4 linked regions of the Lonchura striata genome follow. The protein of the gene in region 2 purifies or fractionates together with the protein of the main gene of each other region. This does not show direct contact. Links are inferred from orthologs where the notes say so. Each region holds a gene or a part of one and is shown on either strand. Other genes may lie near its edges.

Region 1 (7,930 bases), on a different chromosome or scaffold from region 2:
CGTGCTTCAGCAGCACAGCACTATCTTGCCCACCTCTGTGCTGGTAAATCATCTCTCTCCACCATCTCCACTGACCTCTAACCATGCCAGGAGGTCCAGGGCAGCTGGCACAAAAACCACTTTGACTTGCAGGGAATCAGAAGGGCGTTTTAATGGCTTAATTGCAATCATGTTCTGAGGCATCAGAGCTGGGGGCACTCAACAGCTTATCTCAGGAGAGCAATTCTCCCTTCCTTGGTCTTTCATCCTCCTGCCAAGGCCTCTGCTGTTCCCCAGCACTATTTGCAGGAACTAGCCAGGCAAGGAAAACAGGAGCCCGGAGCGATTCATTCCCTGAGCTCAGCTCAGCTCGCTCCCCATCTCTGATGTTATCAGCCTCAAATGTCGTGTGTCGCTCTGGGCACCTTCAATATCCTCACCCAGCCAGGAAAAGCTGCAGCAGCCACTGAGTCCAACCAAGGCTCCTCATGCTGCACAGTCAAGTCTGCAGCAGAAAATTCTGGGGATACATCTCACCCCCCTGAGAGGATGGCAAACTTGCCTCTGAGGATGCTCAATGGACTCTCTTTTACCACAGGTGTTTTGGTTCCATGGGATGCTACAGGATTAGCAGCCTGCTGTCTCCTTGGAGCAGTCTCCTGCTGTTAGCTCTGACAGAGATGATGGTTATGAAAAGGTAAAAACAATTCCTGAGCTGAAGCTGTGCTGAGCCACTGCTGGAAGAGGCAGATCCCAGCCCCACATTCCTCTGCTCGTTCCTCCAGGCCATGTCCACAGCCCAGACAAACAGGGCCCAGTCTTCAAGCCCTGCTCCCTGGGAGAGAAGATACCTCAAATCCAGCTGACCTTCCCCAAGGGCCAGACACTCCCGAGTCCCAGCCGTGGCCAGAGCAGGCAGGAGAGGTTCCCCCGAAGGAGGAGGATGTTCCCATTTTCTGTGACTGCTCCGCCTTTGCTTCCACCGCTTCCAGGCGGCTGCAGCCCCGAGGGGAACGCAATGTTCAGCTGCACAGCTCTGTGCAGTGCCTGGAACACAGACCTGCCTCCCTGACCGTGCTGAAACTTCAGCACTGAGCCCAGAGCTCAGGGCCAGCTCCCCAGGTCACGGGGGTCCTGAACCCTGCTTCAGGGGCAAGACCAGCGCTCGCCCACCCTCAGTGCCGCCTGAGCACCCCACAGGGGTGTGGGAGCAGCACCGGGAGATCTCAGAGCTCCTGTGAGGCCTTCAGGCATGGAGGGGCACTGAGGAGACTCGGCAGCCTCTTCCTGAGCCCAAAGGTGCTCCCACTCACACCTCCAACAGAACCTGCCCCCAAAAAAACTCAACACTCTGAAATCTCTCAGCCACCCTTCTGAGTGACCCACAGCTGGATTCCAGGTTGCTGCTTCTGGCTCTTCCCATATGACAGGTCCCTCCTGCTTTGTCCCCACCACAAAGCTCTATCACGCCACAGTCCCATTCCAGGGGCCCACCCTGCCTGTCCCCTTCCCGGGGTCACCCTGTCCCCCTGCATCCCCCCTATGCCACAGCCCTGCTCTTGCCCCCAGGGCTTGACCCGAGCTGGCCCCAGCCCCCTGGAACCTGCCCTGCAGGTACTGGTCCTCCCCTCACCCCCATGCGGGCCAGGGCTGTACCCCAGTACAGACCCCTCTCTCCCCAGCACCCAAACCCTTCCCTCCCCACCCAAACTGGACCAGCAGCCCCCTGGGGCATACCTGCCACCCCCAGCCCCCTCGCCAGTCCCCCTCTCTGCCACTGCATGGGGACAAGCCCCACTTCCCAGTTAAACTGATCCATCAAACTGAGTCAGTTCCAGCCTTCCAGCACAGCCCCACACCTGTGGGGCCGCTCCTCCCACAGCCGGGGCACGGTCGTGTCCCCCCACGACCAAAGGCTGCTCCCCACAACCGAGGGGTGCTCCCTATGGCCAAGGGGTGCTCCCCATGACCAAAGGCTGCTCCCCACAACCAGAGGCTGCTCCCTATGGCCGGGGGCTGCTGCTCCCCACAGCCGAGGGGTGCTCCCCACGACCAAAGGCTGCTCCCCAAAGCTGAGGGTACTCCCCACAGCCGGGGGCTGCTGCTCCCCACAACCGAGGGGTGCTCCCTATAGCCGAGGGCTGCTCCCCATGACCAAAGGCTGCTCCCCACAACCAGAGGCTGCTCCCTATGGCCGGGGGCTGCTGCTCCCCACAACCAAAGGCTGCTGCTCCCCACGACCAAAGGCTGCTCCCCAAAGCTGAGGGTGCTCCCCACAGCCGGGGGCTGCTCCCCATGGCCGAGGGGTGCTCCCCACAGCTGGGGGCTACTGCTCCCCACAACCAAAGGCTGCTCCCCAAAGCTGAGGGTGCTCCCCACAACCGGGGTCTGCTCCCCACAGCCGGGGGCTGCTCCCCACGGCCGAGGGCTGCTCCCCACAACCAAAGGCTGCTGCTCCCCACGGCCGGGGGCTGCTCCCCACGGCCGGGGGCTCCTGCTCCCCACGGCCGGGGTCTGCTCCCCACGGCCGGGGTCTGCTCCCCACAGCCGGGGGCTGCTCCCCACGGCCGGGGTCTGCTCCCCACGGCCGGGGGCTGCTCCCCACAACCAAAGGCTGCTCCCCACGGCCGGGGGCTGCTCCCCGCCCGGAGCGGAGGCTGCATGCCCCGCCAGGGGCCAGTCCCGCCGCAGACCGGGCGCTCGCCCCGCTCCCCCTGCAGCTCGGGCTGCTCGCCCCCGCCGGGAGGAGGCTGCTCCCCGCGCCCAGCACAGCCCGTGCCCCTGCGGCACAGCGCTCCGCCGGCAGCCGGGGCTGCACCCCGAGCCAGCCCCCGGTCCCGGCCCCGCTACCTTCTTGGGGGCCTTGGTGACGGTGGCCATGAAGGAATATTTCTCGGCGTCCTCCACCTCCTTGGCCTGCTTCTCCTCGCCGCCGGCGGGCTCCGGCACCGACATCCTGGTGCGGCGGGGAACGCGGGGCGGGCCGCGGCCGCCGGCGGGACCAAACGGGGCACGGGCCGGCGGAGGGGCCGGGAGCACTGCGGGCTCGGCTCGCCTCTGGCCCGGCTGGGTTTGGTTTTGTTCGGTTCGGTTCGGCTCGGCTCAGCCCGGCTATGGCTCTAGCTCGGCTCAGCCCGGCCCGGCTCGCCTCTGGCTCTGGCTTGGCTCGGCCCGGCTCTGGCTCAGGCTCTGGCTCTAGCTCTGGCTCGGTTCGGCTCGGCTCGGCTCGCCCGGCCGGTCCCGCTCGGTCGCTCGCTGCCGCCGGCGCGCTGCCTGCGGCGGGTCTGCGGCCGGCGCGCCAGGGGCGGGGCCTCCTGACGTCACCGCGCCGTGACGTCATCCGCCGGGCTGCCGAGGCCGCGCGGCGCCGCCGGGGGAGCGGGCGAGGGGCGGGGCGCCCCCTGGCGGACACGGAGGGGAGGGCGCTGAGGGGCGGGAACGAGGGCGGGGCCAACGGGGGCGTGGTCACTCAGGGGGCGTGGTCACTCAGGGGGCGTGGTCACGGTGAGGGGCGTGGTTATTGTGATGGGCGTGGTCACTCAGGGGGGCGTGGTCAGGAACCTCAGCGCGGGCCAAATCCCAATTAACCACAATAATTATATAACATAAATAAAATTGCATATAAATTTCTATAATATATCATATAATATGTACTATTATGTAGTGCATATAATTATATAATTAATATGTAATTAATATATAATTCATATATAATTAATTCATCATTAATTCATTATCTAATTAATAAATAATTATATATGCATATAATTAGTTTTTTAGTTAAAATAGTTTTTAATTAGTTTTTAAATTAAAACTAATTAAATTCCTTACTTAGACTAAATGAAAAAATTATTAAGATTAATTTTATGCATTAAATAGCAACCACATAAATTAAATATTAATTATATATAAATGTGCAAAATATGTTAATTTATTTATATCTATAAGTTATGTATATTTACATTTCTAAGTTATTATAAAGCTATAAAATTTCTATACATTAATTTTATGCATATATATATGGTGTGCATGAATTTATATTAAATTACTGAATTATATAAGCGTATTACATAAATTATATTAATTTATATACAATTTTTCTAAATAAGTATAGACACTAAAAGAGCTGTGGGTGCCCATCCCCAGGTCCCGAGCTGTGGGTGCCCATCCCCAGGTCCCGAGCTCTGGGTGCCCATCCCCAGGTCCCGAGCTGTGGGTGCCCATCCCCAGGTCCCGAGCTCTGGGTGCCCATCCCCAGGTCCCGGAGCTGTGGGTGTCCATCCCCAGGTCCTGGAGGTGTGGGTGCCCATCCCCAGGTCCCGAGCTGTGGGTGCCCATCCCCGGGTCCCGAGCTCTGGGTGTCCATCCCCAGGTGTGTGTCCGGTCCCGGAGCTCTGGGTGCCCATCCCCAGGTCCCGGAGGTGTGGGTGCCCATCCCCGGGTCCCGGAGGTGTGGGTGCCCATCCCCAGGTGTGTGTCCGGTCCCGGAGCTCTGGGTGTCCATCCCCAGGTCCCGAGCTGTGGGTGCCCATCCCAGCGGTGTTAACCCCCGCGGTGCCAGCCCCCCGGGCTCGGGGCAGCGCCTCCCGGCCCTCGTTACCCATTAACGAGCCGAGCGGAGCCACCGGGGCTCGGAATCACCCGCCCACATCCCCAGCCCAGCGTGGGGGTGCTGAGCACTTTTTGGGAGTGCTGAGCCTGGCCGGGGCTTCCTCCCGCACTCCTGCTGCTCACCGCCCCGCAGCGGGCTCTGCCGGCTCCTGCGCTCCCGGGAGGGTCACAGCCAGCCTGTCCCCGGGGCCAGGGACACTGAGGGGCCGCATCCGCATCCCGGAGCGCTCCCGGCTCCGCAGAGTCCCACACGGGCTCTAGGGGCCATTCCAGGACAGACAGACAGGCGGGGGGCTCTGAGCCCGGACCACCCCATCCCCAAACGCCCCCCAGCAGCAGGGAGGGCTCTGAGCCCTGTTCGCCTTCACTTCCCCGGGGCTGCTCCCTTAAAATACAACCTGGGGAAAAAAAAATCAGCGTGTGGGTTAAAATCCCCAGGGGAAAGAGCAGATAACGGTTTTTAACCAAAACCGCTTTGTCTGGCCACAAAATGGGCCTCTGGCCACCTAAATCCTGCAGCAGTTCCTCGGCCAAAACCCTGTCCCGGAGCCGCCGTGCCCCGGGAACCGCGGCCCCGGGGCCTTTCCGCTGCTTCTGCCCCGTCAGCAGCTCTGCGGTGCCCGCGGCGGCTCTGGGGAGGCTTCCAGGGTGGGCAGAGCTCTCTGGGGGCTCTTGGGAGGGGTCTCAGGACATCTGGGGGGGTCTCCGAGTGCCTGGGAGGTTTCGGGAGAACGGGATGAGCCTGAGAGATGTCCCAGCCCTGCCAATGCCACAAGCAGCAGGGCTGTGGGGACCCCCAGGACCCCCGGGGGGGGGGTGCTGGTGACCATAGTCACTCCATGCCAGCCCATGCTTCAGGTCCCCTGAGCCTCTTGTCAATGCTTTCCCCTCCCACCATCCATCTTTTCCCCCAAACTCCCTGTTCTCATCCCATCAAAGCACCTTTTTGCAGTACAAACCCATCTGGGACCCCCGGAGGGACCCCCGAGTGCCCCACTCAATCCTGGGATGGGGGGTTCTTTTCTCCCCTCCCCTTCAGGTGCTGAGGGACAGGGATGTAGCTCCATGGGATTCCTGAGTGGGGGGCTGAGAGCAGGTTTTGCCCCCCAGATTGCAGGGGCTGGGGGTGGAAGGTGCCCGGGGCAGGGAATCACATCCCTGCTCCCACACAGGGTGGGGAAAAGGCACCAGCTGGGAACATGAGGAGCACAGGGACCCTCCTGGCCCGAACCTGAGGGCAGGGAGACAGTTTGGCTTTTTTCCTGCATTTTCCAGATGCTTTTACAGCACACAGAGCAGCCAGAAAAAGTCAGGGATGAGCAACTGCGAGGTGTAAGCACAGAGGGGTGGGCACTGGTGGTCCCCACACCGCCCAGCAAACTGGGATGCTCCCAGCTCTGCCCCCCAGCTCTGCCCCCCAGCTCTGCCTTAGCTTCAAGCTGCCTTCATCCAGCTCCAGCCACCCTCTCCTGTGCAGCTGTGGAGCTGCCTGGTGTATCCTGGTGCACCCTGGAGCACCCTGGAGCATCCTGGAGCAGGCCAGGGACTCGCTGCCCTCAGCACCCCCAAACCCGGGCACGGTGCCCACCCCTAAGAGCAGCCTCCGGCCTCAAATACCCCCCAAATCTGACCATAATGACCGTGGCACGGATCCAGCAGGATATATATAGGTCCCACTTCCCTGGGAAGGGGATGTGGACCTGGGAAACCCCCGGCTGCTGTTGGGGAGAGGAAGGGCTGGGCTGAGTCAGCTCCCCTCGAGGAATCCTGGTTGTCAGCAAACAAGGCAGCAGCTCAGCCCTGGCACTCACAGAAAGCTCCTAGACCCCTCCTGCCCTTGCCCCCCCCTCGGATGAGCAGGGGGGGTGTTCACCCTGCACACCCCATGGGCTGGTAGGGACCCAGGGTGATGGGGAGCCCCCTGGCATCCCCCTGGAGACGCTGGATCAGGGTATGGGGCTGCCCTGCTCCTGGAAAGAAGGAAAGAAAGCAGGGGGAGCGATGTGGGGGGAGGAAATGCCTCTTCCAGTGCTGTCACTCTAAGCAAAGTGCTCCAGGAAACTTTGCCTCAAGTGTCTTTGTTTTAAACAGCTGCTTCCCAACCATTCACACAGATTTTGGGGGGCCACAGCACCAGAGCCGGTGCCTGGAGCTCTCAGCGGTGCCGGCAGAGCTGGGGCAGGAAGGGCAGATGAATCCCTCTGCCCTCATTGCAGTGGCCACGAACTCCCACACGCATCCCCAGGGAAGCAGGTCAGGGTAAAACCACCAGGACTCAGCCCCAGTCACCCCCTCAGGGACCCCAGGGATGTGACAGGGCAGCCACAATCTCCAGTCCCCCCTTGCATCCCAGACTTACACCAAGCTACACATCTCTGTTTATTAATAATATTAAATATACAAGTTGTTTTCCATTATTTTCTTTAAATAGACTTTTAAATGCCTTTGTATAAAATATTTCAGGATTTCATTGTATAAAAAAAAAAAAAAAAAGACATCCCAAAACCAACAAAAAGCCCCAACCAAACAACAACAACAACAAAAAAAAAAAAGGCAAAATAAATCCAACACGGGTAAAGGCAAGTTTTCTCCCCCAGGAGCAGCTCCTCCACAGTGTAAACTGGTGACTTACACCACCAGGAGTTTGGCCCCAGACTTCCTGCTGCATCAGGGCTTTTATCCTGATTTACACCAGTCCCTCGCCCAGGAACCCCCTCCTTCTGCCAGTCATAAATACACACACACATATATATATACATATATATATAACCCCAAATTAATAGTGATGCTTTCTTTAAAAACAGTCGGGTTTGTCCATATTTTCATCCTTCATATAAAAATAATGCTTGAAACTCCCAGAGCAGCGTGGGCCACGCTTCATCCAGGGCTGGAGGGAGCCGTTGGATTTTGGGGCATCTCCAGGGCTGGTGCATCCCAAACCAGGCTCTTCCCAAAGCCCGGGAGCGGGGCAGTGCCAAGAAGCCCCAGGGTGCCCAGCGGGGGCACTTCCAGCTCTTACACCCACGTGGATCCCATCCTTGCCAGCCCCATTCCCTTCTCCAAAGCGCAGCCACCAAAGAAATGGAATCCCAGCGAGGCCAGCTCGCGGCGAGGACCCCGTGAGGGGCACACGGCCCCCCAGAACATTTGTGCAGGATAAAGACTTTCATCCATTCTATGAAAAAAAACAAATGATCCCTAACAACAGGAGGATGGGGAGGGACTGGGATGGTGCCAAGGGTCACCCCAAACCCAGCCCCGTGCAGGGACACGGGCACGGGTGGGCTTTAAATATTCACAGTGTGAGGGTTTGAGTTGCAAGTCAGGGCTGGGGGTCTCA
Region 2 (7,314 bases):
GGCTCAGGCTGCCAGCACAGCCACAAGCTTCCCCCTCTGGGCCCTGTTTGTGAATTATTAATGATTAATTAGCAGTCAGGGTTAGCACAGTGCCTGGAGCACCCACTGGGGAGGCAAGCGGAGGTGAACGGATCCTTTCCTGTTTCTCAGCCCCGTCTTGCCCACGGTAACATTTCAGCAGATGGGGCCTCCCCAGGCAGAGCATTGTCACACGTTGTCACATGTGCAGTGGGTTACACCAGCCTCAGCTTGCCATCCCCAACCAGCCCTGACTGTGGCACCAGGCAGGTGGCACTGCAGCTCGGAGGTGCCAGCCCTCCTGCCACGGGCAGCGGTCAGGACACCAGCCTTGGCAGATGCCAGCTTCTCCAGCCCTTTAGGAAGGATGCTTTGCCCCTTGTTTCCCTGTTGGGAACTCTTCAAAACCAGATCCTTCTTGGAAGCTTCCCAGAAAAAAAAAAATTGATCACAGAAAGTAATTTCTTCCCCTTTCCCGCTGGGAAACACTTTCCCACCGTGTTAGCGGGAGGAAGTTTCAGCTGACATTATGTTTTGATGGCTCAGAAGATGACAGAGCTGCCTGGGGCCCCCAACCCTCTCGGATGGGCCTGAGTGGGACCTTGTGATGGGAAGGTGGCACGATGCTGGAGGCACCCATTGCCCAGCGCTAAGGCTCCCCGGACACCACGCTGTGCTGCACGGGCCTGGCTGTGCCATACCGGCAGCGCCCGGGGCCCGGTGGCGAGGGCTGCGGGCAGGATGGCTGCGGGATGCGGGATGCGGGAGCCGGCATCGCGGGTACCCAAGCGCCGAGCCTGTTGCTATGGCAATGGGAGCTGAAGATGCAGAAAGCGGCACATCCTTTGGAGGGGGCAGGGACGGGCAGCACCCGGCAGCACCCGACCCACCTGCAGGTGCACAGCCCCGTCCCTGCCGTGCAGGCCCTGGGAGGAAGGCGTGCTGCCTGCAGCACCCAGGGCATGCACTTAAGTGCTCCCTGGGGTGATTGACCCAAACCTGGGTGGGACATGAGTGCAGTGAGCCAGGGAATGGGGGGATGCTCCTTCCTGCCTCCATCCTTTGGGGCTGACCTGTCTCTGTGTCTGCTGGAGCAATGCCCACAGGATGGATGCTCCCAGCTTGCAAGGCACCCAGGCACCGTCCTGCCAGGAAAGCCTGCACTGAGTAAGAGCACCTGCCTAATCCTGCTCAGCGTGCACCAAGTCCCAAAAGAGAAGAAGAGCACCCATGGGACACCACTGCTTGTGCCCTAGATTGGATGAGGTTTTTCAGCCTACACCTGACTCATCCCAGCATCTCTCCCAGCAAATATGCTCTGCCTGGCACCTCTGTGTCCCCATGCCACACGACACCGGCTCTGCCGTGCCACTCTACCTGGCTAAGGGGAATGAGGGCTGTCCTGGCAGCTGCTGGAGGGGCGGTGGGCTCAGTGCCACAGATCATCAGGGGTAGGGCTGGTTGGCGGATGGGCAGGCTGCCAGCACTGGCAGCATGGTGCCAGGATTAGCCGGGAAGGGGACCCGGGTGGGATGATATATTGGGATTTTATTGCTGTCTATGAGAGCACTCAGCTAATCTGCGCTCATAAAATTAGTTCCCGTTGGTTTAGTGGCCACCCATCCTGCCAGGGCTGAGCGTTGCCACCCTCCCCTGCCCCAGGCTGTCTTCGAGGGGCTCAGTGCACCTGGGATACCCTGCAAGGGAGGCTGGCACCCAGCCCACCATCGGGGTCAACACCTGCACCCCATAGGTGAGAGCACCCCCACCGGGGCAGGGGCACCCAGGTGAGAGGTGGGCAAAGGGATGAGTGCTCCCTCCCCGGGGTGCCAGGGGGAAGGCTCGGTGCTGCACTGGCACCCGCACGCAGCCAGCACCCCCCTCCAAGAGTCTAATTTGGGAGCAGAAGCAACAGCGGGTGTAAGACAATAGCGGGGAAGTGGGTGGCCGGGTGGGGATGGCACGGAGGGATGACGCAGCCGTGCAGCCCTCGCCAGCGGGGCCCCCCAACCCCCGACCCCCAGCTCTGCCCCACGGCGTGAGGTGCCACTGGCTGGTGTTTCATCTCCTGCCCCGCTTCCACCTGCAGCTGCCCTGGACATGTCCGTGGGGGGTTCCCCCTGCCATCCCGCCCCCACGTCCCGGGGGAAGGATGTACCGGGGAGAGGCAGAAAACGCAGCCGGGCTAAGACGGACCGAAATATTGCTAGTGCAGGCAGCGGGAGGCGGAGGGGAGGCGGAGGGGCCGGCCGGCCCAGCGCTGCCCGCGGAGCCGCCGGGCTGGGGCTGAGACAGGGCTGGGGGAGTGCCACCGCCCCCGGCCCGGGGTGTGCGGAGGGACAGCCCGGGCCGCGCACCGCAGGGAGGTCTGCGTTTGGCCGGCTCGGAGCGCTGCGGCAGCGGGAAGGGAGCGGACTGCGGGAGAGAGAGGTGCGGGGTCCGGGAGGGGATGCTCGGCGGTGGGGGCACGGGGAGAGGCTCCCCGGCAGCATCCGTTCCAGCGGTGCCGGCCCGGTTCTCCGGGCTCCTCGCGGAGACGGGGGCGGCACCAGGGCAGCAGCGGCCCGGGGGGGCGAGCGGGGAGGCGCGGGGGGAGCCGGGCTCCGGCAGCTCGCCGTGCCCACGGCGTCCGTCGGGGCTCGGGGTCTGCGGGACGCGGGGTGCCGGCGGGGGCAGTGCGGCGGCGGGCAGCCGTCGGGGCGCGCACGCACCGGACAGGGATACGCGCGGCCCCGTCGGGACGTCCCGGGCCACCGGGGTCTGGGAGGAGAGCTGGGGTCAGCCCCAGGCCAGACAGTGACAGATGCCAGCAACGCCCCCCCCCGCCGGGCCCGGCCCCCCTCGCCCCCGGTCCGGCGCGGCGCGGCGCTCACCTGCACGCCTCTCCGACCGCAACGGGGGGCCGCGGCCCGGGGCCGCTGCTCGGGGGGAGCGCGCCCCTCCCGCCCGCCCTCCCGCGCCGGGCCGGGGCCGAGCCGGGCCGAGCCGAGCCGATCCCCGCCGGTCCCAGCGATCCCAGCCGATCCCAGCCCTGCCGTCGGTCCGTGCGGCGCGGCCCCGCGCGCCCGGCGCGGCAAGTTGGGGGGGCGGGACCGCGGGGCCACGCCCCCCGCACGCCCCGCCCCGCCCTGACGTCACCGCCAAACTTCGCGCCCCGCCCGTGGGGACGGGTCACGCGTGGCGCTGGCACCCACCGCACCGCCGTGGGCGAGGCCCGGCGCTTGCACCGAGCTGGGACACCGCCACTGCCCGGGGGCCCGGGACACCGTGGGACCAGAGACCCCACGGGACCCCACAGTGTGCCCTATGGGGGGAGCCGGGATCCCCTGGGCTGTGCTATGGCCCCCGGCCCGGCCCGGCCCGAGACGGGACGGGACGGGGCGGGATGGGATGGGAGCAGGATTTTAGCAAAGCTGAGCGTGGGCTCAGCGTCACAGGTATCTGCCCCCTGAGGGCACTAAAAGGTGCCGTGAGGACACGGTAGACACATGTTCCTGCCTCTGTGCTGTTATCCAGTGGGAACCAGGCAACTTCTCCTCCAGGGGCAGGGCCGAAGGCTCTACTCACTTGCCTATAACAGGGTTTGTCCTTGTACCACAGCATGGGGCAAGGAACAAGAAAGGGACAAGAAATCGGCCACCCTGATTCTCTTACCTCTGCCCACATCCCAGACACGGGACCCAGCCTGGGGTGGGCAGCACAGTCCCCAGGGCACAACAGGGCACCAGTCCCTTCCCGGGCCCCCTCACCCCTCACTCCTCACACAGTGCAGCCACGTGTACGGAGCCTCCCCAAGGGCTGCGTGCCACACACTGGCATTTGCTGCCCATATGGTGCTGCTTCCAAACTGCACCCCCACTTCCCTCCCCTCCCGCCCCTGCACCCACCAGACCCCAGCTCCCCACACCTCCTGAGGTCCTCAGCTGCCACAGGGTGTGGCCATCCACTCACGGGACCTACAGCCCTCTCCCGCCCATGGATAGGGGACACCAGGGTCCCAAAGCCAGCCTCACCCCTCTGCTCACTGGAGACCAGCCAGCACTCCAAGGGAGAGCTGGGGTGCTCCCAGCACCCGTCCCCTGTGTGGCATCGAGCCCTGCCAGCCCCAGGCCTATCACCGCCTGTGCTGGGTGATTAAGGGTGTGTGAGAGCAGGGGGAATTAGCAGGGCACTGTAGTTTGAGCTTCTAATCAAGAGTTTAATCATACTGGCTGGCAGCAGCGCACCACAGTTATTAATCTCTGCACCTCGCGGGGACCCAGAGCGTAAGCCATAATTACCCGGCAGGCACCCGTGTGGCTCGGGGCTGCCCAGTGATGGCTTGCAGCATGAGGGATGTGGTGGCACTTCTCCATTGTCCCTTGACCCCGGCTCGTGCCTATCACCTCCTGGCACCAGTCTCCTGCCTGTGGCAGGACTGCCACAGGGTCCCATCACTGTGCTGTGATCCCCTCCTGGTCCTGACTCTGACTCAGATCTTGGTCCACTCCATGCCCCATTTTGGGGTGATGAGCTTTGCTGACCCCAATGGCATTTGTCCTTACAGTGCCGTGTCCCGCTGCCCCATGCACCCACCCCCTTCCCACTACACCCCAGAGCTGCGTGTGGGGTGCCATGGCTGCCCTGGGGTGATTTTTCCTGCAGCGCCTCTGGAGAGAGCGAGCCTGGGATGCCCAAGGTGGGGCTGCCAGGGCTGGGGGCACCTGGCTGTACAGCCCTGCCTCAGATGGGGGACAGGGGGTGGGGGACACCTGGACATACTGCCCTGCTTCAGCTGGGGGACAGCTGCTGTATCCCCCTGCCCCAGGAGGGTGAAGGGGATGGAGGGCCAGCCCAGAGGGTGCTGGGGGGTGCAGTGGGGTGCAGCGGGGGGTGCTCAGCATGTTTGTTCTGGGGTGCAGTGGGATGCATGTTCGGCGTGTCTGCGGTGGGGTGCAGTGGGGTGCAGTGGGGGGTGTTCAGCGTGTCCGTGACTCAAGCACCACGCGGCACCGCATCCCTGCGTGCTTGCCATCGCCATGGCAACCGCCAGGCAATCAGCGATAATTGCGCACGTCGGCCCGGCAACGGGGCCAAATAAACCCCATCCCTTCTTTCGGGGGGCCGGTGGGGAGCAAGGGGGAGAGAAAAAGAGGCGGTGCAGCTGCTGCTCGCCACCCCTGGCCCTTTAATGGGATGAGCAGCAATGGGGGCGCACAGTGGCAGAGCTGCCCTCCCCACAGGTGTCCCATGGCACCCATGTGCCCTGGAAGGCGTCAAGGGACACAGCCAGAGAGCCACTCAGCTTTGCCACCAGGTACTTTGTCCCCCACAGTGCCGCAGCCCCGCCAGCCCATCCCAGTTGGTGACCACACTGTGTGTGAGGACAGGGTTGCCCACACCTGGCTGGGCACGACTGACTGTGGCTGCTTGTCCCTGGCCAGCCTGCTCCTGATGTGGGCTGTCCCTGTGTCGATGACAGTACAAAAAGCCTTGTACCTTTCCACTGGCTTGGTCCCTGTCACATCCAGGGCTGGCTCTCGTCCCTGGAACCTTGATGGGGAAAAGGGGCTTGTTTTCCACAGTGTACTCCAGCATTACAGTGATGACATGGCATCAAGGTTTGATTCCCCCTCCCACTGAAAGACCTTCTGGGTCCCCTGGGCCTCTGGCAGTACCTGCAGCCATAGGGACCAAGATGCAGGGAGGCTGTTCAGGGCGAGAGCTCAGGGAGAGAACTGTCCCCAGGGGAAAGGACCAGGACCACGATCAAGACCAGGATTGGGACATGGCTGGGACTGGTCCTGAGTGGGTGCTGGGATGGGGTGAGCCTCCCCAGCTGAGGTCCAGTGCTGTCTCAGGGACAGAGAAAGAAGAAAAAGATGTGTCATATAATTTGGAAGGCTCTGGGGTAAAGAAAAGCTTCCTGGAGGACAGCAGAGCTCCCCAGGTGCCTGCAAAGCTCCTCTGGGGATCAGCAGATTTCCCCAGAGGACAACAGAGATTCCCAGGGACCACCAAAGCTCCCCAAAGGCCACCAAAGCTCCTCAGAGACCAAGGAAGGTCCTCAGGGGCTACCAAAGCTTCCCAGGGGCCCCTGAAGCTCCCCAAGTACTATCAAAGCTCTCTGGGGGCCAGCAGAGCCTCAAGTGGGTGCAGGGGTGCCCCGGGCTGTGCCCCAGTTGCAGGATCTGGCCCCGGGCGGGGAGGGCAGAGGACAGGGCTGGCTGCGGGGCCGGCTGCGGGCAGCAGGACTGGGGGTGCCGGGGTGCGGCCCCCCCGCCGCTCACAGGCATCATTAGCAAAACTTGCCGGTTTCTAAAAATGGCACGTCGGTGCCGCGGCTGCTCTTCACGCCCGCTCCCCAGCACCGGCAGCCGCTAAAAACAGCTCGGCGCTGCCTGCTGCCTCCTGCCACCTCTCACCGGGACGGCTGGCACCGGAGACCCCCGCCTCACCCAAACACTGATTTAGCACAATTTTGCCCATCTCCAGTCCAGCCCCCACCCCGTGGCACTGGCTGCCTGCACCCGCTTTGCCACCAGGAGCCCAAACCTGCGGTGGAGGTGCCATTGCGGCATCACCGCCGTCGCAGCAGGTCCCCGGGCGATGCCGGTGGCGGGACCGTGCCCGGCTCTGCCTGTGCACCCGCAGCCCCGCGTGCGGCCACTCATGTTTTATAGATGGCTCCGATTTTAATAATTAATCCCCGCTAACGACAGCACTTTCCCCAAATAAAACATTTAAAGTGCTGTGTGTGCACGGCGCGTTGCCGGGATGGGACGCCGGCTGCTCTGCCGCAGCCGTGGCGGATGGGCATGGCACGAGGTGGCTTGGCACCGCTTGGCACCGCTTGGCACGGCTTCACCTGCCCACAGCTCAGCCCGGGGCTGCACCAACCAAACCCAGCCACACAGCACCTCAGGGTGCCGCCACCCAGTGCCCACCTGCGGGTGTCCAGGTAGCCCCTCTAAGGCACCCCCCAGCTGCGGCAGGGGTGCCAGGTGCCATGCAAGATGCCACCCTGACAGGTCACCTGCCTGTCCCTGGTGCCGTGGCGGTGGGCACGGTGCCAGTACCAGTCCCAGCTAGCAGCGTCAGGCAGCACTGGACAGGGGTGGGCACATGCCAGCCCCTGGCATGGAAGTCTGGGTGCTCACTCCTCACCTCCCGCAGCGTAATTAGGGCAGGATAAATGTGGATTAGCATGAAATCTGTCATCTCTGCAAGCACATTCGTGGGGGGAGGGGGGCAGCCTAAAGCAGGGGCCGCCCACACGCACATCACCGTAACCACACCAGACTTGTCAGCTAACAA
Region 3 (7,685 bases), on a different chromosome or scaffold from region 2:
AAGGAACCATATTCAAAACCCTACTTCAACCAACAAAATAAATGATGAGCCAAGATAGCTGTAATAATCTAAGACATTAAGCAACCAATGAAGCTACAGATATTTCTGTCTTACTCAAATGATGTTAAAACACTAGCACTAGCAAAACTGCTCCTGTAGGTGGCCTGAAAAGTAGAATCCATGTCAGTTATGTGAACAATGCACATGATGCTGCTTGTGAAGTATTTTCAGAGTACTTTTTAAATTACATTTTATACTATAATGGTAACTCTTCAACATAATCTTTGATCCACAACAGCTTGTGTGCAGTATCTTTTAAATCACAAGCTACTTTATATGGCAGAACTCAAAAGTTAGTTTAAAAAAGATTGCTGCATACCTTTGTTTTCCTTTTTCATCCATATTTTGATCTTGTATAAGGTCTCGACGTGTTCGCTCTTTGGAGGTAGCAACAACAGAAGATGGCAACGCTGGCTACAAGAATGAAAAACAAACTACTTTGTTGATCGTGTTGCAGGTACGTTTCTGCTTGCACAGCTCCATTTACTATATATTACCTTTTTAATATCATCATCCTCTGCGTCGCTTTCTTGGCGTGATTCTCTTCTTGTCCGACGCTCTCCACCCAGCCTGAGGAAGAAAGCCAGTGGTCATTAGAGAACATGTGTTTAGGAGAGAATCTCTTTCAGCATGAGAAAAATACAAGCATGTCTAGTCAGAAGAACCAACACTTCGGTGAAAATCTCCCCACTGTTCCAACAACCAGTAAGTAACATTTTACAGACAGAATCTATTATTGCTGAAAATCAATTAGACAGACAGTTTAAATTTTAATACAAATTGCTGAGTAATAAGAACAGAAGAACCTGCAAACATCATATTTGACTTCTTAAAATACACTTGTAATTCATTCTTTTAAATGTTTGTGCTTTTCCAGAAATCTCTAAAATGGCGACTGGTATAAAGGGATCACTAGACAGACTTCAATGCATTGACATGGAAAGGTTGGTATAATTTCTTAAACAGGAAATGCTGTTCAAGTTACCTACCAAATACCTATTGGAGAGAGGCAGAGGGCTTACCACTTAAGGCATGAATGAACTAAGGCTTTAACAAAGAACAACTTAAAATAAATAATTTAAATAAAATAAATCCTAAAATAAATCATTAAAGTTGAAGTTGTTTTCAGCTTTGTAAGCACAGCATTACTGTCCTGCTTCCCAGCTTCATTTTCTGCTAACTCAAAAATTCCAAAGTAAGCTTTACTTTGGTCAAGAACTACCACTACACATTAAGTGCCCACAGCACTTGAGTTCACTATTATCAATCACATCTGATGGATTTGCAACCAGATGTGAAAGCCCAAAACCCAAGTCCATGGTCATATTGCCTATACTCAATTTATTCAACAGGTCTCAGTCATAATTCAATTTTTGCTCACTGTAAACAAATGTCATAACTAAAAAGAATGTAATATAGCAGAATGTACACCAAATAAAACAAAAAAATTACAGATATCTTTGTATTGCTACATCTTTATATTATTGCTACCACCTTTATGCTGCTCTAAGGTATGAAAAAGATTTCACCACGTGATTTGCTGTCACCCAAATTATTCCCAACAAGTCTTCAGTAAGCAATCTCCAAAGAAGACAGTGAATGTCCCCAGTTATTTCCAGTTTTTGGTTTACTGTTACAAATTCTCATTCTGAAAAGCAAGTAGGCTGCATTAGTTTTTGCACTCACCTACTGGATGCACCTTCAAGATCCCTCTGTTTGGCTGGGGGTCCTCCTCCACTATCCGAGAATCCACGCCTAAAAACAAAACGCTTGCGGTCTTAGAACAAGTTTAGGTTAATCCCTGGAGCACTTCAAGTGTGCACAATTTAACTAAAATTTTGCTTTATGGTCATGATTAAACATAAACTTTACTCAGCTCTATCACTATTTACTGTTAGCACCGCAGTGAAATGTTCTAACACACTGCTTGTGAACCATGTAATTTAACCTTGAATTTCTGCACTTATTTAACTGAGTAGCTCTGCTGTAACAAGCATCCTATCGTGTTCAAACAATCTTACCTGCACTAATTTTCAGGATGTGTTTTTATCCACATATGTTTTAAAATCCTTCTTAGAGCACCTACCAGTTTTTTAACCAGCAAGAGACTGATTTTGAACGATTTCAAAGACAAGGTCCCAGCCACCACACAACACCTCCCTTTATTTTGACGTTTCCCCTTATTTTTCAGCCTAACGGCTGAGAAGGTGGGGGAAAACCACCCATTTAGGCTTGTAGCAACTCAAAATGAAAAGGCGCTTTAAACTTAACCTCCGAAGCCCTGTAGGGCAGCTCTGGCGCTCACTCAAACAGTACCGCAGCGATGAGCGGAAGCAAACGAGGAACGCGCTCACGAGCCACTGCCAGGGAAAGGATGGATGAAACTCCACTGTCCGCTCCGCGCCTCCTTACCTTAGCAATAAGCTCCCACGCCCTCTACCTCCACCGGGGCCTGCGAGGGCTAACAGCCTGTTCTGAGGGGGCCTGAAAGAGACGGTAAGCGCTGTTAGCGGTGCCAGCCCGGCCCCGGGGCGCTGCTGCCCGCCCGGCCCAACGGGCCTGCGGCCGTTCCGCCCCAGCCCCGCGGGACAGAGCTGCCCGATCCCGCACCAGCGGGGCGGGCACGGCCCGCACAGGGACGCGGGACCCGCGGCCGGCTCCGCGCCGCCCGCCCCGCAGGCCCGACGCGCGCCCGCCCCCCCCACCGCCGCCCGGCCCTTCCTTCGCGGTACCGCGGCGCGCCCGGTGCTCCCCGCCTCACCTCACATCATTGGGGTCCCGGCCCGTGAGCTTGCGGATATTCTCGTCCACGTGCTTGAGGCTTTCCTTGGCTTTCTCCAACTGCTCCTGCAGAGCGCGCACCGCCACCGCCATCCCGCCCGCCGCGCGGCCTGGCCGGGCCCCGCGCGAGGCAGCGCTGGGAAACAGGGGGAACAGGCCCCGCCCACTCCGGCGGCCGCGGGCCCGCACGGCGCAGCCAATCGCGCCCCGGGGGCCCCCTCCGACCGCCAATCACCGGGCGCGACAGGAACGGGCACGCCCCCCAGGTGGCTCGCCAGAAGCGGTGCCCAATCACAGAGCCCAGGGGCAGACTGGCATCCCGGCCGCCCAACTGGGGAAGGCTCTACTCGACGGATACTAAAGGAACCGCCGGAGTGACGTGGCATAGGACTAATAAGAACTCAAACGTCACTTCCTTGTAGCCCAATCAGAAAACCACTTCGAGGCCGCTTGTTCCCACCCACCCGGGGCGCATCCTGCTTTCCCACTCTCGATGGGGCCGAGACGCCGGCACGCTCGGGACTCAGGCGAGGGCCAATCACCGCTGCGCTACCAGAGGCGCCTGTGCCCGGCGAGCCAATAGACGGGGCTGTTACTCGACGCTGGCTGAGGGGGCGGCCTGACGGGCGGCGCGTGCCGGGGTCGCTCCTGCCCTCGCATCCCGCCGGAGCGGCGTGGCAGGGAAGCTCCGCAGTGCGCGTCAGCCGTGGCGCCCGGGGCGGCGGCGAGGCTTTAAACCACGCTTTTCCCCGGCTGCAGCCGACGTCGCTCTGGGGCTCCCCGCGGCGGGCAGGGGAACGCACGGGCGCTGTCTAGGAGGCGGCGACACACGGGCGCCCCGCCTGGCTCCAGCACTAGGGTGGGCGGGGCAGCTCCGCAGGAGGGGCGCGTTTGATCCCCGGCTGCCGGCAGCGCCCGAGTCCGCAGACTCTGCAGAGCCTTAACCGAGAGCCCCTTTCCCAGAGCTCCGGCTCACAGTGCTGGGCCGCCCCGCCTCGGCCGGGAGCTCCCGCGGCTGGCCGGCCCGCCCGGAAGGGGCGGCGGCCCCGGCGATGGCGGACGAGGCGCTGTTCCTGCTGCTGCACGGCGAGATGGTGGCGGGCATGTACCGCGCCGCCGAGCAGGGCGAAGGGGTGAGTGGGGCCGGGGCCGCCGGGGCCGCCCGGCGGTGGCCGCGGCTGACGCTGCGGCCGCGGCGCCTTGTGTCTTGCAGGAGAACGGGCGCTGCACCACCAAGCTGGAGAGCATGGGCTTCCGCGTCGGACAGGGGCTCATCGAGAGGTGAGTGCCAGCCCTGGCAGCCGCTGCTCCTTCTCGGGGCTTTCGCCTCGCCGGTAAAGCACACCTCCGGGCAAAGTGTGGTGGTTTGGCTGGGCGGAGAGCGCGTTCCTCTAACCATCAGTTGTTCTGGCATCTCCTCTTTTTGTATCTCATTCTTGTGGGGACCTGTGCCTGTGTATCATGAGACAGTTTTGGAGTGTATTGTTTTCCTAGTGCTTCCCGTCATGGAAACCGAGTCAGGGTACATGGTTACTTTTAGTACTTAAAATTATCTTTAATTCTACTTTGTTTTGTATGTTTCCTGCTTCTGGTACTTCTAGTTCCTGCTTCATTATTTTTCTGATTTACTTCTTAAGTATAATTTTATGATTGGCTATTACTCTTATTTAGTTTTCGTAAAGTGCTCTCAGCGCTTGCGACTCCGCGACTGAGCAGGTCGGGCTCTTTGGGGACCGGCGCCCTCGTTCCGAGGTCGTGTGGAGACTCTCGAGTTTCTGAAGTCGTGCTTTTCTTAAATAAAGTGGTCCTTTACTGCCAGATAAAGACCCTCAAGGAGGATAAAGGGAGAGAAGTCTGAAATAAGCAAGAGAAAGAAGTCCCTCCTGAAAAATGGGAACAAGTTTTATATGCTTGTTCCTATGTTAGAGCTGTTTTGCCTAATTGAAGGACTTCTTCCAATAAGTAGTATAGGTGTGAGCATTTTGTTTATCTTCTGTTTTGATACCTTGTTGAAGATAAAACTGATGGAGCACTTTCCACCTTTCTGTATGTCAACTATGTTTGATAATTATGGAATTAAAACAATATATTCTGCTATCATATTGCAGATACTAAGATAACACTTTGTTGCTCAAGTTAAAATATTTGATGAATGGACAGTGAGGGTAGAATGGTACTACACGATGGCTGGAAAACTAATTTCTATAATAACCTCAAAAATTATGTATAGTACCATTAAAAATTATTTCTATGTTAAATTGGTCAGGTTATGTATACCACTCAGTGTTATCTCACTTTTCTCTTAGGTTTACAAAAGACACTGCCAGGTTCAAGGATGAATTAGATATTATGAAGTTCATTTGCAAAGATTTTTGGACAACGGTATTCAAGAAACAAATAGATAACCTAAGGACTAATCACCAGGTATTAATGCTGAAGATTAAGATTTAATGTAGAAAATTGGTGAGAGTTTTGAGTTGCTAGTGCATTTTTTGTTTTGCTTGGTCAGAAGTAATTACCAGATGAGAAATCCAAAATGTTCCATATTTGTTTTGTTTAAAAAGTGTGTTTTTCAATATTCATATTATCATGTAGCTTTAGAATACAATTTAGTAATTGCCTTTATAATGTCTTTATTGCCTCCCTGTTTGAAAAGACTAAATGCTTTGAATTTCATATGCACTGTTGCAGTGTGACAGAAAGGACAGTAATGATTACAATTGATGAACATTTAAACAAGAACTTTTAAATCTGTCTCTTAATAAATGTTAGTAGAAAAATAGTGAAAAAGTGATGTTACTCTCTTAGCATTTATTTAAATAGAATAGCTGCAGTGAATTGACTTTTTTACTTTGAAGAATGTTAAGAGTTTTCAGCAGTTGAGACAGTTGTAATCTATTGAAAATACTTGTATAAGAAGCAGTGGAGAAACTTCTCAGATTTGCCTGTTGGTGACATTGTACTGTATCCATGTGCTTTCCTATATCAACAGCCAGAGTTCTTAAAGACAGATCAAAATAACTTAAGGAGCCATTTTACTAGACTAAAAAATCTTTTTCCTAATTGAATTACTTGGTTTTCTTACAGCCATTTCCCTGTTGTGTCAAATTGGGAAGAAAAGGATTTGTACAAGGATTGTGATGAATATATAGGTTTTATTTTACATGGACTTAATCACGTAATAAGAGATAATTATTACTTTAGAAATCTGGGGATTTAGTTCAAAAAAGCTGTAGTATTGAGCTTAAGGTCTTAATTGTATATGCAGCCTTATTTTAAGTTCAAGGCTTGTGAAATTCCGAAGTAGCACATTAGCAAGGAAATTAATATGACCGGTGTAGATAAAGCTATACTGAGTTTATACTTAATTTATTAAGATGCCTATTGTTGCACAAAATTGTATTGTAGAAAACACCAGACCTTTACTTTGATTGTCTGCTGGGTGTTGTTGCCTGTACTGCTATTAAGTAATACCCCACTGAATTTGAGAATAAGAATAGAGATGTGCAAAACCCAATGAAGATGAAGATTTGAATGTAAAACCAGTATGCATTTGATATATTACCAGAGACTTTGTAATATAGAACTATTTTTTTCTGATCACTGGAAGTACTCTTCCAAGAAGAAATGTACATAAACATTTTTTAGGGTTAACTGATCATGTTATTATCTAGAGTTTTTTTGTATATTCACAATTAAGAATATTTTATTTTGATATTCCTTGCAAGTAAATAATGCAATTTAAACTTAAATCACATATGACTTAATCTAAAATTTTATTTTTCAACCTTATATATTTTATCTACAAATCAAATCCATTCACAGAAAATGTGGGGTTTATATTACTGCACATTTAATTAAACCTCTCAATTTTCTCTTTTTAAACAGGGTATTTATGTCCTTCAAGACAATAAATTCCGTCTCTTGACACAAATGTCTGCAGGAAAGCAGTATTTAGAGCATGCACCAAAGGTACCCTTGGATTTTATGTGGGGCAGGGTCTACCAGTTTCATTTTAATTACCTTGATCTATTAATAACTTTAAATTTTGTAATTAAATAGATACAAATTCTTCTAAAGAGCACCTAAAGATATGCTTTCAGAGCCTGTGTGCTTTTTACAAAGGCACCCTGTTTTAGAACAGTGGAGTTGATTTATAGTTTGAAAAATGGTCATAGTTGTTGTGCAACTTGCTGCTGTTACACTTGAGTTACTTCATGGTGCAGGTGCTTGTCTGCCACTACCTGCCAGTGTCACACAGATTCTTTCTCTTTGGGAAGCATGTTTTCAGAAACCTTTAAAATTCCCAAAACATATTTGGATGATGCTATTTGTTACATAAAACAAGCCTCTGATATTATGTGAACATTCAGAAAGATCTACCAATTAAAAATAGTTTTGAGTGCAGATACTGAGTTATGGTAATAGCTCTGTATAACCTATCATAGAGTACTTTAGTTCAGGTGGATTAAAAAATGAGACATTAAGTTCTGTTTTATGGTTTCTTAATTCTTGATCTTAGTCTCCCAACTGGCTGCTGTCTTTGGGATTTTTTTTGTGTGTTTGGTGAAATATTTATTCTGTTTTGCAACACATATTTTAAATATCTGCAGGTGCTTGTATTCTAAGGTATGGCCTGCACAAGAATGCTGTCTTGGACTGTTTTTTCTTACCAGTTGCTAATTTTAGCCAAATCTTGGGAATAATTGTTTTAAGGATATTAAGTTCCTACAGGCTTAATGGAAAGAGAAGGTGACTCAGAATACTGCCTCTAATGAGAACAATCTGTGTAGTAAGCTCCACTCTACCAAATATTGGAGGTTTCATCTATTAGAGACCTGACA
Region 4 (7,729 bases), on a different chromosome or scaffold from region 2:
GAGTTAAAGCATTAGGCAATTCCAGACACTTTAGAAAAAGTTCTAGCAACCTCTTCTTTTTCAATCCTAGTAACTCCTTTTCCCCTTCCGAGATATCCATAGCAACAGAATGGGCCCCATGTCTCACATCTCACTTCTAACTCCTGGATTAAGAGAACCAGTTCCCTCTTTGCCCTAGCTCCAAAAGGAGACAGATTTAACACCTCTCTATTTAGCACTGAAATGCTGGGCATTAGTTGACTTCCAGATGTCTACCATATGAGGCTGCATCCATCACAAAATCTGCAACATCTATAAACATGCAGCATTTTGATTATTCCATGGGGATCATTTAAAACCTGTGATACAGATCTGCCTCTAACATTTTAATAACCTTTAAAGGAATGTGACACTCCCAACTACCAAAGAATTAAACATCCCGGGAATGAGTAGAAGCTTGTTGGAGCTGCCAGCCTTATCTGCAGCAGCACCAAATATGCACTGTAATGTGGGATATTGGAAACATCTCCATCCCCATGTACATCACAGGCAAACTCAGTGAACAAGAAAAAAACTTCACCAGCTCACAGCATCAAACAATCTTTTTCCTTCTGTGCTTCTGATCAGCAATTACTTTATTCTCTGAATTGCAATTAAATGCATGGTTGGGAAGAGATTACTTCTGAACAGCCAAACTTGCTTTCCTGATTTTCAGCTTCACAGTTTTCCCTAATACACCAACTGCAAGAAACAACACAAATGACTATTCACAAACCCAGCTCCCTGCAGAAACCAAGAAACACCCATGGCCTTTCTACATGGAGGACAAGAAACCCACACCACAGATGTGCCACTGGCAGAAGCTGCTGGGAAAGGAAATGCCTCCTCTAGCACCAGCGGCAGGAAGAAAGCAGTTATGGACTGTCCCACAAGCATCGCAAAGGGATCCAAGACAAGCAAACCTGTGTATATCACTCAGCTTTAGGATATTTCTATCCAGCTCCGTGCCTCTCCAGTGCAAGCTCTGAGGGGCATACAGATTGTAAAGCCACTGCATGAGCCCAGCTGGGTGGTACAAAACAGACAGGTTTTCTGGTCTTGTGAAACCAGGAACCTAAGATTTTTCCTTTCATAAAATCACAGAATCGCTGACTGGTTTGGGAAGGCATAAACCTTAAAACTCATCACTTTTCAACCCCCCAACTATGGTCTTTGCTACACCAAGTTGCTCCAACCTGGCCTTGAACACTTCAAGGGATGGGGCTGCTCTGAGCATCCTGGGTCAGGACCTCACCACCCTCACAGGGAAGAATTTTCTTCTAATCTCTAACATAAACCTGCCCTCCGTCAGTGAGAAGCCATTCCCCCTTCTCCTGGCCCTTGTAAAATGTCTCACTCCATCTTTCTTATAGGTTCATTTCAGGTACTGAAGGCTGCAAGTAGGTTACCCATAGCCCATTTTTCTTCTTCTAAATACCCCATAGCCAAGTTTGGTTTATCTCTGCCTACACATCAGTTCCTCCTGCACCTGTGGACTATCAAAGTCATAATGTTATCAGCATACAAAACTATCTGCTAGTGTTCAAGAGTCAGATCTGGTTTACCCCTTCTGGGAGAAGGGAAACGGAAACACAGATAAAGACCAGCATGTTTGCTGTTACCCAGCCTGCTGCTGAGGCAGGAAATAGAATCACAGAATCAATTACATTGGAACAGACCTGAGACCATTAAGTCCAATCTCTGACCCAACACCACCATGTCAACTAGACCAGAGCACTCAGTGCTGCATCCAGTCTTTCCATAAGCACCTCCAGGGATGGTGACTCCACAACCTCCCTGGGCATCCCCTTCCAGGGGCCCAACTGCCCTTTCTGTGAAGACAGTCTTCCTAATGTCTGATCAAAACCTCCCAGTGCATCTTAAGACTGTGTCCTCTTGTTCTGTTGCCCATTGCCTGGGAGAAGAGCCTGACCCCAACCTGGCTACAATCTCCTTTCAGGATTCCCTGCTTACTGCTCCTTAGAACAGGCACTTAGCAGGCAGATCAGCCACATAGCTTTGGAATATTCACCAAATGATGCTACATTAAAGCAGTCTCCAAACTAACCAGTGGTTTTAATCCTTTCTCAGGAATGCCCCTGACCATACTCACTTTAGTTGGAAACCTCACCCTACACAAGGGCATTTTCACCTGCACAAGTTCAGACATTCACTGGAAAATGAGGAAAGAATAAATCACAGTCCTCACACGAGGCTAAATAACATTGCATCTCTAAACTATATGCTTCATCTTTATAATCAAAAACCTCTCACTGTCTAAAAAATAGCTGGTTTAGGGGCATCCACCCTACAACAGAAAGTCTAAATTGCAATCTACACAAACCCATCTCACACATACTTCTGCTTTAGAGACAGAATCTGCACACTCAGAGCAGCAGTTCTCTGCAAAAGAAGTAAAGTCGCTGCCCTCAGGCTTCCCTTAAGGCTATAGGCGAGTTCTTTACTGACAGTTTGCTCCAGGTCTTCAGCTGCAAACCGGCAGAATTCCAGGTGTGAAGAGGGTTCGGCGCCCGGCACTTCTCTGTCCACTACGGCCGTTCGGCCCAGCTGTGCGGCCGGCGAAGCGCGGGGCAGCCAGATCCGCCCGCCGTGGGTGCGGTATGGCGCCCGTGGGGCAGGGCCCGCGAGATCAGCACAGCAACCCGTCCCTCGGGCCTGCACAACGCTCCTCCCCGTAGGCCAGGCCGCGGCACCGCCGACACTCGGGCCCGGTTCCACGGCCGGCCCCGCCCCGGCTCTCCCTCCCCTGCCCTCCCCGCCTCTGGCCACGGCTCCGAGACCCCATCCCCGACCCTCGCGCCACCATCGCCTCTCGGCAGCCCCAGCGCACTCCCCCCGGTGCCCCGCGCGGCGGAGGGGCCGGTCGGGCCACGGCCCGGCCGGATGGACGCGGATGGTGCAGCCCCCGCCCCGCACTCACATCCTCGGCCCCGCCGCCGCTCCGCGCTCGTCGCGCGAGATTGACGCGACGGGCGGGAAGGAGCGGCGCCGCGCGCGGTGATGGCGTCACAGCGGGGGCGGGGCGGGCGGACGGGCTTCAAGCGAGCAGGAGCGGGGTGGCGGGGCGGCTGCTGCTGCCCCCGCCGCTGACGTAAAGGTTCTTGCAAACCCTGTCCTGCATAGCCGTGGTAATGACAGTAGCAGCTTGGGCTTCAGCTCTGGGTTTTAAAAGCTTAACAACCCAGTAGGCTGCAGCCCCCACACGTGAATTCTGGCCCACGCTGCCTCAGGCTCACACAGCGCACAGACTCTGATTTGAGGTGGTGGCGGGTGTAGGGATGGCACTACTGTGCGGGGATTTGCCCTCTCAACTGCAAGAAAATTGGGAAGAGGAGAATGAAAGACTTAAGATGGAGCACCATACAGTGGCATTTCATGTCATGTGGGACGGATATCCCTGCCAAATGTGTTTGCTGTGAACTTAAAAGGGAATTTGCCACTGCAGACACTGAACCTCTGACGTCACCACATTGGCTGCCTGACTTTTGACTTGAGAGGAACAAAGCCAGAAGTGTATTTTGATCCCATCCCTAATACAGGGCCTTAAAAGTGACAGATCTTTCTAAGAGGTGTGTCGATCTGCTTATGTGTATGGCCAGAGGCATGTTTGTTAAATTCCTAATGATGGAAGCTTCACCTCTTGAATGCAGTGGAAGGATATGTCCTGTCTACCTCCATCACAGGACATGAGCAAGACCAGGGCAGGTATCTTTAAATTCGTGTGTGGCAACAAGAAAAACAGACTTATTCTCCGTTCTGCTGCAAAATCAAGGGGTATTACATAAAACCTGGCATGGAACAGGTTCAGTAAACAAGAAAACAAACAAAACCCCAAGAAAGCAAAAAGGAAGTTGTTCTTCTGTCCACAACATCTTGTTTAAGGGCAGATTTCTCTCACAGGCAATTTTGTAGTCTACTAAAAGTTCACATTGGTTCGATGAGAAACTGCATTATGTCAAATGGGCACTATTAGTAGACTGTCATGATGAGCTTAGAATCATGGAATCATTTAGGTTGGAAAAGTCCTCTAAGATCATTGAGTCTAATTCCAATGCCATTCCCACAGTGCTGCCAAGGCCACCACTAAACTATGTCCCCAGATGCCACATCTACATATTTTTTTGAACACTTCCAGAGATGGTGATTCTACCACTATCCTGGGCAGCCTCTTCTAGTGCCTGACCACCCATTCTGCAAGGAGTATTTCCCTAATATCTGTGAAAAATGAGGTTCACTTTCCTGGTAAAATTTTAATTTAAAGTTTAATAAAAGTTTAATTAAAAGTTTAATAAAAAGACAGGAGACAGAAATAAAGTAAAGGGTTAAAAACGGCCAGGTGCTTAGCATTCAGGCAAGAGCACACTGTTATCTTTGGAGATACCCCTTAAATACCTTTTCAGTGCATATTCATAGATTCTTATGCATAGTCATATTTTCCCATAAACTACCTTCCCATAAACAATTCCAGGAACTATTTTGCATGGGCCCTCCTTGGGTCCGCCTTTTTAGAGCATGAATGTTTCTTGGCTGTGGTTTTGGTCTGTTCTCTTTGTCACTTCTAGTTTGGGCTTTGGTCCATATTTTCTTCAGATGGCAGATGCTGGTAGTTGGCATATCAGTAGTAGGGTCCTCATGACATCTTCATTGGATGTTATCCTGAGTGAACAGACAGTTCACTCATAACTGTATCAGCTATCAGTACTATGTCTAAATTTTTGTTAATAGCAGAAATAAAAGCAAAGTTATTTTAACATTATACATACAGCATTGATCTTAATATTTGCAAGAAGCCAACAATATAATATGTACTTACAACATATCCAAAGGAAACCACCCTTAGTGCAACTTAAGGCCATTTCTTCTTATCCTGTCCAGTGTTCGCTAGGAGCAGAGCCCAATGCCCACCTATCTGCATTCACAGTGTTTAACATTTTTTCCTCTCTCAGTTATAGCAAAGCCATAAAGGCTAACTGATCCCAAAGTCCTGCACACCCTTATTCTCATAACAACTCTCATCCCCCCCAGACGTGGGCAGGTAAGGTCACTGACCCAGCAGAAAAATAATAGTACTGTAAAAAAGGCTTGCTGCTAGCTGTTAGCTGAAGCAGGGTCCTGAAGATTTGAGAGCGCCAGGACGGTGGTGGCAGCGTGTGGGGGGTGTGATCTGCTTCCAGGGGCTGCCAGCAGCTGGCAGGACTGAGCCTTTAAGCCAAGCCCGAACGAGGAGAGACATTTTAACATCTCATGTGGGAACACTGGCAGAGATGAGAATAGCTCAAAGCACGCGTCTGCTTCAGTTTCAGAGGAATGGCCCAGCTGTGGCCTCTGCGCTCTGCCAGCAGCCCGGCTGGCACCGCACGGCCACCATCCCCCGCAGGGATCGAGCTGGTGCTTCCAGGGCTGAAGGGCACCTGTAGGGACGGCAGCGCTGCTCCCGTGAGGCTTGTCCTCCATCCTCTGCGCAGGTGTGACCAGCCACCCCTGGGCCGTGCTCCGGGACGGTACAGCCGGGTCCGTGCCCCGAGGTGACGCGGCTCCCGGCGGCCCCGGAGCGCGGCTGCCCCGAAAGGGTTACGAGGAGGGCCCCGCCCTGCCTCTACGTCGGTGTCCTCCTGGGTGACCTTCCCAGCAGCCCTTGCTGGCTCTGCCCCAACCAAACAAAGACCACGGGAGGTTTTCAAACAGCCGCTTCCCGGAAAGTTGGCTGCGGTAGAGCTGGGCTGCGCTGGCACCTAGCTGGTCCCGGCCACCGGAGAAAGCGGCAGCGAGTTGGTGCCGTCGCCTGAGAGGACCCCGGCAGCCGTCGGGAGTCCCTGTACGTGGGTGCTCTGCCCATTTGCTTCCGTGCATTGAGCTGGTTTGGGTGCTGGGAGTGGCGTGGGGAAGGATGAGAGAACTCCCGGCAGAGGTGCCAGCGCAGGGAGTGTGCAGCAGGACAGGGTTCCGGGGCCCCGGCTGTGCGGAGGCTGTGCGCTGCGGAGGTTCGGTGTGGGAGCTGGGAGTGGCACGCCCAATCAGAAGTGCTGTCCTCCAGGCTCTTCCTGAACTCAGAAGCCTGCCCAGCAATTTTCCAGCGAAGTGCAGATTCCTTTAGATACTGCCCATGTGTTGGTGGACGAGCAAGAGATGAAATAACAGAGCTGTGTGAGTGCTGCTTTTGGCTCTTACTTCAGTGCTTTTCTTTCCCCTCCCTCCTGCACTCCCAGGCTTCTGCTGAGGACAGACTATTTCCAGCCACCTCCGCAGGTGAACTGCTCTGCTCCGGTGCCAGTGGGGTTGGGGCTGATTGTCTCTAAACGCTGCCTGAGGCTGAGGGCGCTTGTCCCGTGTGTTGCGCTGACTTGCAACTGGCGCTTCATTTGTCCTTCCTGTTAATTGGCTTTGGGTTGTGGTGGCGACTAGAGAGCTCTCCTTGAGGCCCCGGAAATCCAGGCGATCAGTGGGTCATTCTGCTCACAGCAACACTGGCATTCCTTTATCATGGTGAGGTGTGAGCACCCTGTGCCTTTGCATTTGTGGGGATTGCACTGCAGCACTGGCTCAGCCCACAGCCTCTGGATGCTGGTGTTTTTCCTGTGCTGGGAGATCTTTGGTCTGCCTCCCTGTTCAGTCTGTTACTCCCTATGGGAGTATGGCACTTCTATGAGAGTAGGGGTAGATGTGTGTGTGGCTTCAGAGGGCACGGTCTGTGTGGCTTCCTTAGAGGAATTGCAGGGTGGAGCATTTGTCTTCAGAGGACTTGGAAACTTTTCATCCAAATGTGTAGAAACAGCCTTCGTTGTCATTGCAGGAAGTTGAGAGAGTTTCCATTGGCTGCTTTGTTGAGTAGCTACATTGATTTGGAACAACAAAAATAGGAGATTTTGGGATTTTCCTCTAATCTGCAGAAGGATGTGAATTTAGCAATTTAGTTGAAATACTTACAGGTCTATTAAGCCATCTGTAGTAGTTTCTGAACTCTCTTGAGGTCTAAGGCTATTCTTGCAGTGCACACTGGTAGCTAGGCTATGAACAGGTTTAGGGCTTCATGACTATCTGCCTCTGGATGTGTCAGTGCATACATTTGTATCTTTCAGGGCTTTTAGCTTAAAAACTGTGCCTTGATGCTCATTTTCCTGCAACACTCTTCCATCCTGATGCTATAGGAATATACCTGCTTAATGCTAAACTTAGTCAAACGTCCTGGTTTCACCACAAGGAATAAATACTATGTTCCACTTTGCAGTGATTTATTTATTTCTTCTTCAGGTGTGTGAAAGACTAGAAATTCAAGATGTGCTTGTGGCATTGCCAGTGCAGCTCTCTCTGCTGGAAGGACTGTGTCTGTGGAGAGCAGTGACTCAAAGTACATAACACTTTACAGAGAGGCACAGGTAGAGGTAGGACAGTGAGATACTTGGCATTTATTATTCTTGTCTGAATACTACTTGATGCATTTGTTCAGTGTGAGGGCAAAGATAGATTTTGGAGCCAGAATGTGAAATCTAACCTGCTCCTCTCCCAAAGGCCTCCAGATGCTCTGTGAAAGCATCTTACTCCTTCAGGCCGTGGTTCTGCCTTAATATCATGTTTGGATGCTCCAAATAATTTCTTAATACATACCCAACCTCCACCAGGTACAGAATCACAACCATGCTGAGTTTGTCAGACCAAGTAAAAACGTTGAGGGTCACCTCTGGATTTTGGGCTG

Evidence for each region.
Region 1: the proteins of CAMKV (region 2) and AHCYL1 purify together in Homo sapiens (affinity purification with mass spectrometry; 3 studies listed by BioGRID and IntAct, counting the BioPlex papers as one, with this or other methods). This does not show direct contact. The link is inferred for Lonchura striata from reciprocal best matches to the Homo sapiens genes CAMKV and AHCYL1.
Region 3: the proteins of CAMKV (region 2) and PNN purify together in Homo sapiens (affinity purification with mass spectrometry; 3 studies listed by BioGRID and IntAct, counting the BioPlex papers as one, with this or other methods). This does not show direct contact. The link is inferred for Lonchura striata from reciprocal best matches to the Homo sapiens genes CAMKV and PNN.
Region 4: the proteins of CAMKV (region 2) and RNPS1 purify together in Homo sapiens (affinity purification with mass spectrometry; 3 studies listed by BioGRID and IntAct, counting the BioPlex papers as one, with this or other methods). This does not show direct contact. The link is inferred for Lonchura striata from reciprocal best matches to the Homo sapiens genes CAMKV and RNPS1.

Annotation. Positions count from the first base shown.
Region 1 is NC_134632.1:1,192,491-1,200,420, reverse strand, and holds the start of AHCYL1 (S-adenosylhomocysteine hydrolase-like protein 1), read right to left. Parts: upstream 3,014-7,930; 5' UTR 2,935-3,013; coding exon 2,830-2,934; intron 1-2,829. UniProt on the Homo sapiens protein: Multifaceted cellular regulator which coordinates several essential cellular functions including regulation of epithelial HCO3(-) and fluid secretion, mRNA processing and DNA replication.
Region 2 is NC_134614.1:7,446,862-7,454,175, forward strand, and holds the start of CAMKV (caM kinase-like vesicle-associated protein), read right to left. Parts: upstream 3,010-7,314; 5' UTR 2,892-3,009; intron 2,449-2,891; exon of another isoform or gene 2,354-2,448; intron 1-2,353. UniProt on the Homo sapiens protein: Does not appear to have detectable kinase activity.
Region 3 is NC_134608.1:23,809,291-23,816,975, forward strand, and holds the start of PNN (pinin), read right to left. Parts: upstream 3,012-7,685; 5' UTR 2,935-3,011; coding exon 2,822-2,934; intron 2,545-2,821; coding exon 2,473-2,544; intron 1,816-2,472; coding exon 1,747-1,815; intron 631-1,746; coding exon 558-630; intron 475-557; coding exon 380-474; intron 1-379. Other genes in the region: TRAPPC6B (trafficking protein particle complex subunit 6B), read left to right, coding at 3,894-3,974, 4,055-4,122, 5,148-5,265, 6,730-6,813. UniProt on the Homo sapiens protein: Transcriptional activator binding to the E-box 1 core sequence of the E-cadherin promoter gene; the core-binding sequence is 5'CAGGTG-3'. Capable of reversing CTBP1-mediated transcription repression.
Region 4 is NC_134618.1:1,871,270-1,878,998, forward strand, and holds the start of RNPS1 (RNA-binding protein with serine-rich domain 1), read right to left. Parts: upstream 3,009-7,729; 5' UTR 2,962-3,008; coding exon 2,960-2,961; intron 1-2,959. UniProt on the Homo sapiens protein: Part of pre- and post-splicing multiprotein mRNP complexes. Auxiliary component of the splicing-dependent multiprotein exon junction complex (EJC) deposited at splice junction on mRNAs.